3 linked regions of the Danio rerio genome follow. The protein of the gene in region 2 purifies or fractionates together with the protein of the main gene of each other region. This does not show direct contact. Links are inferred from orthologs where the notes say so. Each region holds a gene or a part of one and is shown on either strand. Other genes may lie near its edges.

Evidence for each region. Proteins that work in one complex are often made in the same cells at the same time.
Region 1: the proteins of polr2j (region 2) and rprd1b purify together in Homo sapiens (affinity purification with mass spectrometry; 3 studies listed by BioGRID and IntAct, counting the BioPlex papers as one, with this or other methods). This does not show direct contact. The link is inferred for Danio rerio from reciprocal best matches to the Homo sapiens genes POLR2J and RPRD1B.
Region 3: the proteins of polr2j (region 2) and dnaaf10 purify together in Homo sapiens (affinity purification with mass spectrometry; 3 studies listed by BioGRID and IntAct, with this or other methods). This does not show direct contact. The link is inferred for Danio rerio from reciprocal best matches to the Homo sapiens genes POLR2J and DNAAF10.

The regions. Positions count from the first base shown.
Region 1 is NC_133198.1:46,861,825-46,865,403, forward strand, and holds part of rprd1b (regulation of nuclear pre-mRNA domain-containing protein 1B), read right to left. Parts: intron 3,451-3,579; 5' UTR 3,423-3,450; coding exon 3,272-3,422; intron 487-3,271; coding exon 357-486; intron 1-356. UniProt on the Homo sapiens protein: Interacts with phosphorylated C-terminal heptapeptide repeat domain (CTD) of the largest RNA polymerase II subunit POLR2A, and participates in dephosphorylation of the CTD by RPAP2. Transcriptional regulator which enhances expression of CCND1.
Region 2 is NC_133180.1:67,353,718-67,358,091, reverse strand, and holds the start of polr2j (DNA-directed RNA polymerase II subunit RPB11-a), read right to left. Parts: upstream 2,877-4,374; 5' UTR 2,841-2,876; coding exon 2,788-2,840; intron 954-2,787; coding exon 864-953; intron 604-863; coding exon 429-603; exon of another isoform or gene 1-428. UniProt on the Homo sapiens protein: Core component of RNA polymerase II (Pol II), a DNA-dependent RNA polymerase which synthesizes mRNA precursors and many functional non-coding RNAs using the four ribonucleoside triphosphates as substrates.
Region 3 is NC_133188.1:1,040,914-1,044,416, reverse strand, and holds part of dnaaf10 (dynein axonemal assembly factor 10), read right to left. Parts: intron 2,722-3,503; coding exon 2,621-2,721; intron 2,534-2,620; coding exon 2,403-2,533; intron 1,738-2,402; coding exon 1,636-1,737; intron 388-1,635; coding exon 272-387; intron 19-271; coding exon 1-18. UniProt on the Homo sapiens protein: Key assembly factor specifically required for the stability of axonemal dynein heavy chains in cytoplasm.

The DNA of each region.
Region 1 (3,579 bases), on a different chromosome or scaffold from region 2:
CATTTAAAGGCTTAACAAGGTTAATTAGGGTAAAGTTAGGGTAATCAGGCAAGTCATTGTATAACAGTGATTTGTTCTAGAGACAAGCCAAAATAAATATTGTTTAAAGGGGTTAATCAGTTTGACCTTAAAATGGCGTTAAATCAATTAAAAACTGCTTTTTTTCAAGCTGAAATAAAACAAACAAGACTTTCTCTAGAGGATAAATATTATCTGACATACTGTGAAAAACTCCTGAATTTGTTAAACATCATTTGGGAAATACTTGAGAAAAATGCACAGGAGGGCGAATAACTTCAACTATATCTATGCTTTTGAAAACGAACAACAAAAAGCATTAATGAGGGTTTGTTTACCTGGCCACGTGTGAACAGGCATCAATCAGGACGCCTTCGAAGTCTTTTGCGAACTCTGGACCCTTTTTCTTACTGTTCTGAATCACATCATTGGCCAGATACAAGAACGTCAACTTCCTGCTGCTTTTAGCTGAAAAACAAACACATCATCACTATTACCTTTATTTATTAGTGTTTTAATGCCATATAAGCAGCATTAGCTAAACCCACACTAAATATACAATATATAACATGCAATCATATCGGTTTCTTCTTAATAAACGTTCATTGTACAAAAAAACACCAACACTGACTGAACAGAGTCAAACACAATCTTTTAGCTTGATTGATGATAATTATGGCGGCATAGTGGTTAGCACTGTCTCCTCACAGCAAAAAGGTCGCTGATTCGAGTCCCGGCTGGGTCAGTTGGCGTTTCTGTGTGGAGTTTGCATGTTCTCCCCGTGTTGGCATGGGTTTCCCCGGGGTACTCCGGTTTCCCCCACAAGTCCAAGCACATGTGGTATAAGGGAATTGAACAAGCTCAATTGGCTGTAGTATACGAGTATATGAATGTGAGAGAGTATGGGTGTATCTGAACCATGCCAGGCCCGTTTCCCGGATCGTTTGAAAAGTGTGAGTGTTCTGAATCGGCCTTAGGCATGATTCAGTTGGCCAGCCCTGGCCCGGATGGAAGAGGTGTGCTAGAGCGCAGTTCATTTGGGCTTACAGTGCGAGTGCAAAGTGCGCCTGAGCTCCAAACTGAAGACGAGACATGACTTTTACGGGACTGTTTCATATGGATTTATCAATCATTCTTACTGTTTAATGAACACAAACTATTGTAGATTATTAAACCCCTCACTGCACGACAGTTGCACCTCCAGCAAACCTTTTAATACGTGACGCACGAAGACTTTTAAGTCGAAATAAGGCGAAATATTTGACTGTGTGTCACTGCATATCGAACCATTTAATGCAATAACTAAAGCAACCACCACTGAGCTCCCCAGAGTGCTTCTCTTCTGTTAAACTAAAGAGCGCATCATCGATGACGTAAGCGTGCTCAGGCGTGAATGCTATATGAGTGCGGGCCGTCGGAGGAGACGTTAAACTACTCAACAAATGCTTACTTAATCCCAATTACAAGCCATATGCACAGCAAACATGGTTAATTTTTGCCATTTACCTTTGTTAGATCATACTGATGAATTAATGTGCTTCTCGTTTTTTTTTTTTTTTTAAAACCAACAGATTTTTTTTTGTATTGTTCCCACAATGGTCATGGACATCATCATCCGAAGCTCCTCTCTCTCTTCCACAATCAATTGCAAGGCCTTCGCAGCAGATAATCTTTTGGCCATCTTGATCAGTTTTGATAAGGAACCACACTGGCAAAGTCTTATTTATAGTACTATGCCCCTAATTCGCAGATGGGACAGGATATGAGTGCTTTCACACCTGTGAATCGATTCAGTTGTTCTAAACAAGGATTACAATTGTTACATTGTTGCTCTTTGCTCTTGGAGCGGTTCACTTTCACACTGCAAAGTTACTAATCGGACCAAAAGAGCTAAAACAAGTCACGTGCGAGTAAACTCTCCTCACATTGGTCAGAGTGTCAGGGTTTATTTTGCAGCGTCCCGCTCAGCTGTCAGGAGAGGTGGTGGTTTGGTGGTGTTTGACAGGGTGCGCGCGACGTGTCTGAAGAGTAAGGAGAGATGAGGTGGGGAGGGGTGAGAAGGGTGCGCGACGTAGCCTATTTGAGGACCGGGAGGGAGATGCGAGATTGCCAGGAGATCATCACTCGTTTGCGGGCATCCGGAGACTCGCAAAAGTTCCCGCCATACTCATAATTCTCTCTTCATATAGCCGTAAGCCTATTACATATCCATAAAACACTGTGATATAACCGCGCTCGGATCGGATCGCTTTCTCACTGCAATCGAACCGCTCCAGAGTTCGTTTCAATCGAGCCGAGACCACCTCACTTAAGCGATCTCGGAGCGATTGATTTGGCGCGGACTCGAGAGCGATTGGTGGATTCACATATGCTAAACGAACCGCACTAACTGGGCAAACAAGACAGGTTCCGAAACAAAAGTGTAGGTGTGAAAGCACCCTTATTATACCTGGGTCTAGTGAACCCGAACACCTTGTATGTAATGTAAATGTCTGGGTGGAGGTACATTATGCGGTCATTGAAAATTTGTTCGGAATTATGATCTTCACAGAAAATAGGCCAAAGCCAAAGAACTTCAGGTTGAAAAAATAATTCATTGTTTAATAAAAAAAAAAAAATAAAAAAAAAAACGAAAAGGGTCTCACAGACCCGAACACCATACAAGGGTTAATAATATAATAACGCTAATACTGAGATGGTTAGGGCATTTTAGAATGACCAAAACAACATTTCAGATGTTTTACAATGTGCTCCGCCTGATGGTTTGTCCATTCACACACGTTTTTATCATCACATGATCTCATATATCAAAATCACATGACTTTTTTATGCACATAAAATCGTTTCCATCTTAGTTTATTGCGCATCTTTTCGTATCAAATAAAAGTTAATTCGACTTAGTTATGCGCAAAGGTTTTTTATTCGCATTTTCAAAATGTATGTGCCTCTTGGTGTTTGCATTAACCAGTGTTTTTATGCACATATCCAAACTTTGCATAGAAATATGTGGATGGAAACATAGCTACTCTGTGTGTGTGTGTTGTAGTGTGTGCTAGTAGTTTCTGTGGAGTAAAAGTTTTTTTATAGCTGGCGGGTCAAAATAGACCCAAAGGACAACTGTTGTACTCTAAATGTGCACAGCCTTCATGAAAAAAGACAATGTACAATAAATGTTTAAGGTCATTTTAGAAAAGTAAGTATATGGGCCATTTTTGACCCGGGTTAAGCTTCAGTGAATGAGTGTCTCTCTCACCCTTCTTCAGCTCTCTGTGCCAGACGCGCACGATGAGCGCTGCATGTTTGCGATGGTGAATGATCCACAGAGACAGAGTCTGGACGCTCTGCTGGGAGTTACTCAGTTCAGACAGTTTCTTCTCCAGCGCAGACTCGGAGAAAGACGACATGCTGACCGCTCGCGCTCACCAAACAACCCTGAAAACAGCACAACAGACCTGATCATTAACATAAGATGCATTTAACATAAGGGGAAACACAAGGTCAAAAGTTGATATCAAACTATGGAAAAGAAAGTGAAGCTCAATAGTCAAAGCGTACACGCCT
Region 2 (4,374 bases):
AAAAACTGCTCCAATTGGTCTGTCGTTTTTATGTTGTTAAATTGAAGAAAAAAAAAAAAAAAAAACACTGGGTGTGTTTATATCACCCCAATATGACGGTGTATACACTTTACTTACACACGTCTTTCCAAACAGCTTGAAAAGTAGATTTGTTACCATAGGTGCCCTTTAAAACAACATTAGCACCATTTAACTGATCATGAACAATGTTGCATTTTGAAAGCCATTGGACGCTGATATGATTTCCCTATTTAGAATTTGCAAATAATACTTTTCTGAAATTATAATATTAAGTAGAACGTCTGAATGTGTGAATACAAAACCAACTTTACCTCAATTGTCTTTTGCAGTGCTGCTATAGAGTGCATTTTTTTCAGGAGCGCTTGTTCTGGAATCATTTTTTACTCAATGCAAACACATGAACATACCCTAAATCGCTCCTCCAGCAGGGACAGCTCACTGATCAGATCCGTGATGGCATTAGTGAAGGCTTCCTGAGGACTGTAGTCTGGTGTCGTCTGAACGCGGATCACAACCTTATGCTCCAGAGGATGAGGAACCTTATATCCAGCAAACAGCACCTGGGGGTCCTTCAGCAACTGCCTAATGAGCAATTCCAATGTTACAAATGTGACATTTGCAGTAAGATCTCAAAACACATTCACAGAGAAAGTATGTGTTAACATTATACTGAAACATCTGTTTATATTTTCCAAAACAACTAACCACAGAGTTAAAACCTAATCTTTTTCATGACAAGGTTGACATTTGCATGGAATTGCTCTAATGTAAATATAGGATGATTACAAAACCCACATAAATATCTGAAAATGTTTTAGTGTATCAAAAGTTTGGTCTCTTACGATCGGATGATGTTTCCCAGTGTGTGATCCTCTTTATTTAGAGTAAACAGACATGCATTCGGCACCTTGGTGTCTTTGGTTATTGTGATCCTGTAAAAAGAAGTTGAACAGAAATTTTAGGCAATCCCTTACTTTTAAAAATAGTAATGTTTTGGTACAGAGTATATACAGGAACCAGAGAGTGAATTTCAATACCTTTAAGACTCTCTCCATACAAGACCTTAAGACCTTATTATCACTTAAGATTTCAATCGGAAACAATAAAGAGATTTTAACTTACAGTATATTTATTAAATATTAATGTAAAAAACTTACATATTGATATACATAATTATATTGAATTAAAATCTATTAAATATAGCTAATTCAGCAGGTTGGTGCCTATAGAACTGCAGAAATAATGGTTTTTCCTTGATAACTGCAGTAAACAAAACTGCATGATGTCAAATCTAGCAGGATTTCATTGATTTCATAAACTACACAGCATCCTGACATTTAGATTTAATTCAGGCAAACTTTAGCATACAACCATACCTACATTGCACAATCAAAATTATATAAAATTTAACACCTTGCAAAATAGCATTTAGGATTTTAAAATACTTTTTAAGGGCCTTACATTTCTCTACATTGATTAATCAACTTTTAATAGTTCTTAAGACCCCGCAGACCCTGTGGTATCATGGTACAATGTTGGCAGTAATATGTCACTTTGTTAAGTAGATCAGAGATGAAAAATGTTTTTCTAGGTAAATATACAAAATATAATAAGCTTTATCATCATATTTATCATCTTTTTATCCTACTATAATTTTAACCCTTATTAAGAGAAGATGCTCACTTAAATGTCATTCAGTGCAAAAATATTTTTTTATGCCAAAAAGTATTGTCAAGCATTGAGGTAAAGTTGGTTTTATATTCAGACATTTGGTAATTTTTGAACAGTGAAACCTTGTAACACTGTGCATATATTGTTTATCACACTGCTTTGAATATTCAGTCTAAAATAGCCTGCAAATATGACTTCTCAAAAACATAAGTACTATTTACCTGACTGAACAATGTTGTACTTTGATAGTCATTGGCTGCTAATGATTTCTCTATTCAGAATTTGCAAATAAAACTTTTCTGAAATTATATTAAGGAGAAAGTCCAAATGTGCGAATACAAAACCAATTTTACTTAAATTTGTCAAGCATATCTGTCAGAAAGAGGCATTTACAAGGCAAAACAATTTAGTTTAAGCACTTACTACTGCATATTTTAATCAATGTAGATTACAATAAAGGTTTACTTTTTAAAAAATATATTCATATTTATATGGAAGGTTATTTTACTAATATTTTTGACAATCTTATTTTTATAGTTAAAAGTTATTTAAAACATTAAAGCACACCTTATTTGCATAAATTTTATATGTTAACGTTACGTATTACCTCTGTTATTTAATTTGATGCTGAGACCAATTACTGTACATGTACTATGGTATTTACATGGTATTCAAAAAATGTCATGGTATCATGACCTAAAGTACGTCTAAAAACGAATACTTTTATTTAGATTCACAAGGTCACTTAACCAACTTAAACTTAATTGAGCTAAATGTTGGTATTACATGTCTTATTCAAACAGCTTAGCATCTGAAATTGTATTCGTTTATACAAAAATAATGAACAATAAACTTAAATAGTGAATGAATCAATCGTCGATATGATTTAAGCTGTATTGTATAAAGCACTCTGTAAACAGAAGTAGGTTGTATTTTGTTTTCAGATGGACTGACTAACGTAACCTGTCGTTAGCCAACAAGCTAAAGCCTTTTGAATCTCCCTCCTGTCTTCCAACTGAATATTTACTCTTATTATAGGCTAGTATAATATGTTAGTATAATTGAATAGCAAAGACAGCTTTATAGTGCACTTACTTCTTTTCTCCCTCAAACAGCAAAAAAGACTCGAATGCTGGTGGCGCGTTCATCCTGCTTCAAAACCAGCAGCGAACGATGCTACTAATGGACGCACGTTGTACTGCGCATGCGCATGACATGGGAAGACATGGGAAAAAGGGTAATATTGAGTGAATAACGACCGGGGGCAGTATTGTGTCGTAGTCTGGTCGTAGTATTTTCAACACAACGACAGAGTTAAGAGGTACCTTTATTATGAGTCTTTTAATACACTTTGGGTCAAAATGGTTGGATTATATATCTAATTTTGACCATCGCTTGTAAAAGTTGAGTATGGTGATTAGCATGGGAGTAATTATTGACCATTCCACCGAATGGATGCATTTTGCTTATTGTAACTCTTTACAATTAAACTTCTTTTAATTACTTTTCAAGGCGGAATCTAATAACACACATACTTAACTTTTCAAAATATGTATTGGTCCACATAAAATGACTTAATTTGAGTTTTTACAAGGTATTATGTGGCAGATGAATGCATTTTTCAGTCATATTACCCAAACTAACGAGTCTTTTAAAAAGCATGAATAAAAGTCTATCAGGTAATTACTTTGTTTTCCTCTTAAGAAAGTGATTTTCTTTTTAAAATATGGTTTGTTACACTTTCAAACATTTGATTTTTGTATTTAAAAAATCACGATTTACATAAAAAAATGTATTTTTATAGGAATGCAAAGGCACTTTCCCTTTTTTCAAGAAAACTGTGGCCTGAAATTCATGTTTTTTATAACATAATTTACTTAACATTTAAGTATATGATGTACAGAACTTAACTGAGTAAATTGTAGGGAAAAAAAGTTTTCACAAGAAAACCAAATCAGTAAGTGAAAAGAGAGAGAGAGAGTGTGTGTGTGTGTGTGTGTGTGTGTGTGTGTGTCATGTAGTGGAACTGTCATTTCTGAGAAAACTATTCCTTTAAATATCTTACAACTTCAACATTTCCATCCATAACGTGTGGAAATCAGATGAATAATATAATAAAAACTGTTCATTCTATTAAGTATCAGAAGATGCTTTTCATTATTGTTACTCATTCCTGTAACTCTTATAAGTAACAGGACTGAAAGTAACAGGACTGAATTTCTAGCATAATATTTGCATGTAAATGAAATTGAGCCACACGCTGTACATGCTAATAGCTCAAAGAAACTTATCAAACTCCCTCAACTTAACAAATATCAGAAATTTTGCACTGAACAAATTACCTCTATGAAGTAATTTAGGTAACAAGATAGTATTTTTAAAATGACATTTCCAGTTTTCATTGCAATATCCGCAAATATGTAAAAAAATAAATAAAAATAAAACAAGATATATTATCTTTGCTCTTTCAATGGCCTTTCAAAGATCCAAATGATGCAACTTACTGTTTAACAACTATTTAATGGATATTATTTAATGGATATATAATTTCCTTTTATCTAAGTATAGAATTTTTTAAATAAATGTATTTGAAGCAAATATTCTAATTATTATATTTTACAGTGAAGACGATGCTGTGGCGCAGTAGGCAGTGCTATCGCCTCACAGCAAGAAAGTAGCTGG
Region 3 (3,503 bases), on a different chromosome or scaffold from region 2:
GAATTCAACAGAGCACACCTGGAAAAGACAACAATAATAATTCATTCATTTTCTTTTCAGCTTAGTCCCTTTATTAATCAGGGGTCGCCACAGTGGAATGAACCGCCAACTTATCCAGCATATCTTTTACACAGAGGATGCCCTTCCAGCCTTTTCCCATCTCTGGGAAATAATAATAATAATAATAATATATTTTCATAATTCTGTTTAAATGCATCCACTGTTGTTGGGAGGCCTTTAAAAATGTGCACTGAATATTATAAACACTCACCCCATTTCTGATGTTCTTCTCCCATCGTAAAGACATGTTTCTAAGATCGAACAGCTTGATGTCGCCGTTATCATATCCAGCGCACACACAGCGGTCTTGATCATTGAAAGCATGACCTAGAGGAAAAAAAGCAAGGCAAAGTGTGAGATTTACTCTGTGTTTTTTAGTCAGAACACATACAAAACATTTAGTAAATCTCTGTTTATAACTAATATTATAACAGTCTGTTGTGCATGCCTTTAGTTTCCTAAGATTTAAAGAGTTTTTGTTGAAAAAACAGTATGTATAGAACTAGAGGCACATTATATGAAATATGCGGCTAAGAAATAATTAATTAAACAATAGTAATTACAGTTTTTAAATGTTTTTAAACATCAGTAGTGTTTACCCCTATACAAGTCTGAAATTTCATTATTGATGCTCTTGAAAAGGCTTAAATTTGACTTGGTGAAACTTGCAGAAACCCTGAAAATACACATAAAAAGAAAGAAAACCCAATGCTGATCTTCAGTCAATATTGGAGGGACCGGTGACTTTTAAGCGTGAGAAATAAAAGCTGTGGTGTGTGAGCGTGTGAACTGGCTCAAATGCGTGTCCAGACTTGAGATTGTGATTAAATTAATTAAACTGAATCTTAATAAGTGTAAATAAATAAGGTGTAAAGGAGGCCAGGGTTATCAAATCCTGAATTCTTTCCTCTTCTCCATGATGACAGCACATAATATTAGACTAGATATTCTTCAAGACAGTAGTATTCAGCTTAAAGTGCATGTAAAGGCTTCACTAGGGTAATTAGGGTAAAGTTAGAGTAATTAGGCAAGTCATTGTATAACAGTGGTTTGTTCTTAAACAGTAAAAACTGAACCACCCTGATCCAGTTACTATGACCATTTATGTGAAGCTGCTTTGACACGATCTACATTGTAAAAGCGCTGTACAAATAAAGCTGAATTGAATTGATTTCTGCACACAATCCAAAACTAATATTGCTGAAGGGGCGAATAATATTGACCTTAAAATGACTTTAAAACTATTAAAAACTGCTTTTATTCTAGCTGAAATAAAACAAATCAGACTTTCTTTAGAAGACCAAATATTAGAGGAAACACTGAATCTGTTCAACATCATTTGGGGAAAATTGGAAAAAGAAAACCGGGAAAATATGAGTCCTGTCGATAACAAAACCAGTTGATGACCACTTAAACAGACGAGCTTTAAAAGATTTGTATGACCATTTCTAATTTGTTGGTAAAAAAAGAAAAGAAAGAAGGGCAAACAAACGTAAAACTCTGAAAAAGAATAAAACATTAACTCATGAACTAACTCTTGTGTGTGTGTGTAACGCAAGATTAACAATCACAGACCGAAAGCGACCGTCCAGCAGTCCCTCTTGGTTTCTCCCTCTGTGGGCTCCATGTTGACCACCGGCGTGTCTTTCTGCCGGGAGTCCCACACCTTCACTGTGCCTATTAATAAAACCACACGCAATCAAAATCCGAAGCGCAAACATTTCTAAGCGCAGTCAGTTTTCTATAAATATGTGTATCAGAGCAATTCCAGCGTTATGGTTGTGACATTTGCAGTAAAAACTCGAAATATAAATTCACAGAGTAAGTATATGTGAACATTATATCGAAACATCTGTTTATGTGTACCAAAACAACTCACTAAAGAGTTATGAGATCAGACAAATAGCAATCTGTAAACATATTTTATATTTTTAATGAGGGAAATAATCATGCATTATGGATGTGACCAAAAAAAGTCTGCGAGTTTACAGAATACAACATGCTTTGTAGACATTCAGTGAATTAAACTGCACAACCCAAAAGAAAGAATGCTAATCAAAAGGAGAAGAGTTGTCTCAATATACGGTAGAACAAACATGATTGATTTTATTTTACATGACATTTTTGCATGTATGAGGAAAAAGCTTGGTTATGGATGTGACGTCTCTCTGTTATGCATGAGACAGATGTGAAATTGGCTTTGGTAAATCAAAAATAATAGTTTGAAAACACCGACAGAGACATTTTTGAGTAGTTTACACAATTGCAAAACACTTAGAAAGGGTGAAAGCTTTGTTGACATTTGCATGCGATTTCTCGTCTGCAGAAATCCGCCTATTTACCGTCTCTACTTCCAGTGACGATCTCTGGAGCCCCGTCCCCGATGCCCAGTCCTCCCACTCCGTCAATGGCGTTTATGATCTCCTTGTGTGCTTTAACTGAGTACACCGGGCTGTCGGGCACTTCCAGATTCCTGAAGAGCAAAGATTACGCAATACTGCACTTTAAATAACAACATAATAGATAACCACAAACATAACCACATCCAGCGGGCTCCTACCAAACGTTAAGATTTCCGTCAAAGTCTCCGGTGGCCAGATGCCTCTGCTGGAGAGACGTGGCTCCAAACGTCCCACACTTGATTGGCTTGGATTTTTCTATCTAGAATATTGAAAAGTATGTTTATTAAACATCAATAATGCACAATACATCATATCAATATGTATATTGTTTTTGTCACAGGAGCAATAGTGAGGATGACTGGAGAAGGACAGGCTTGATCTGGCCAATGGCAGCAGTATTACAGATTCTGAGGTGCTGTACGGGTCAAACACCTGCAGCGCGAAGTAAATATTCACTTCTAAAAGGCTTACAGTAGGCTTATGTATTAAATACATTCACAAAGACGAAAACGAATGGTTAGTTTCAGTCAGTTTAATGTGTTCACATTACAGTTTCAGTCCGTTTTTGTTTTTTATAAACGTTTGTTTTTTATTTTTATTTCAAGTAAACGTAAATGATTGTTTTGTTTTTCATTAACTATAATAACTCTATTGGTTAATGGACAGACGGCTGCTTCTCACTCAGGGCTGCTGTTTACGTTAATGAAGGAGAGATGGGCACTAGTGGGCGGGGCTTCCCCCCTTTGATGACACGTACAAAGGGAGAATGTCAATCAAAGTGTTTCTGCAATCTACTACAATGGTAGGAAAATTTTGTTTCTCTGCAGCTTCTTCAAACAAATCAATACGATCTTTATTTCTTCATGGAATTGTGTCAGTTTCAAATGTGACTTTTTATTGGAATTCTTTCGTTTCTGATGTTGATTGCTGAAAAATATGGCTCATCCCAAATAGCTACTTAATTACATGTTAGATAAGTTTCATTTTGAATTATACATCGTACATACCCAGTAAATACTCTTAGTAAGATATAAGATATTG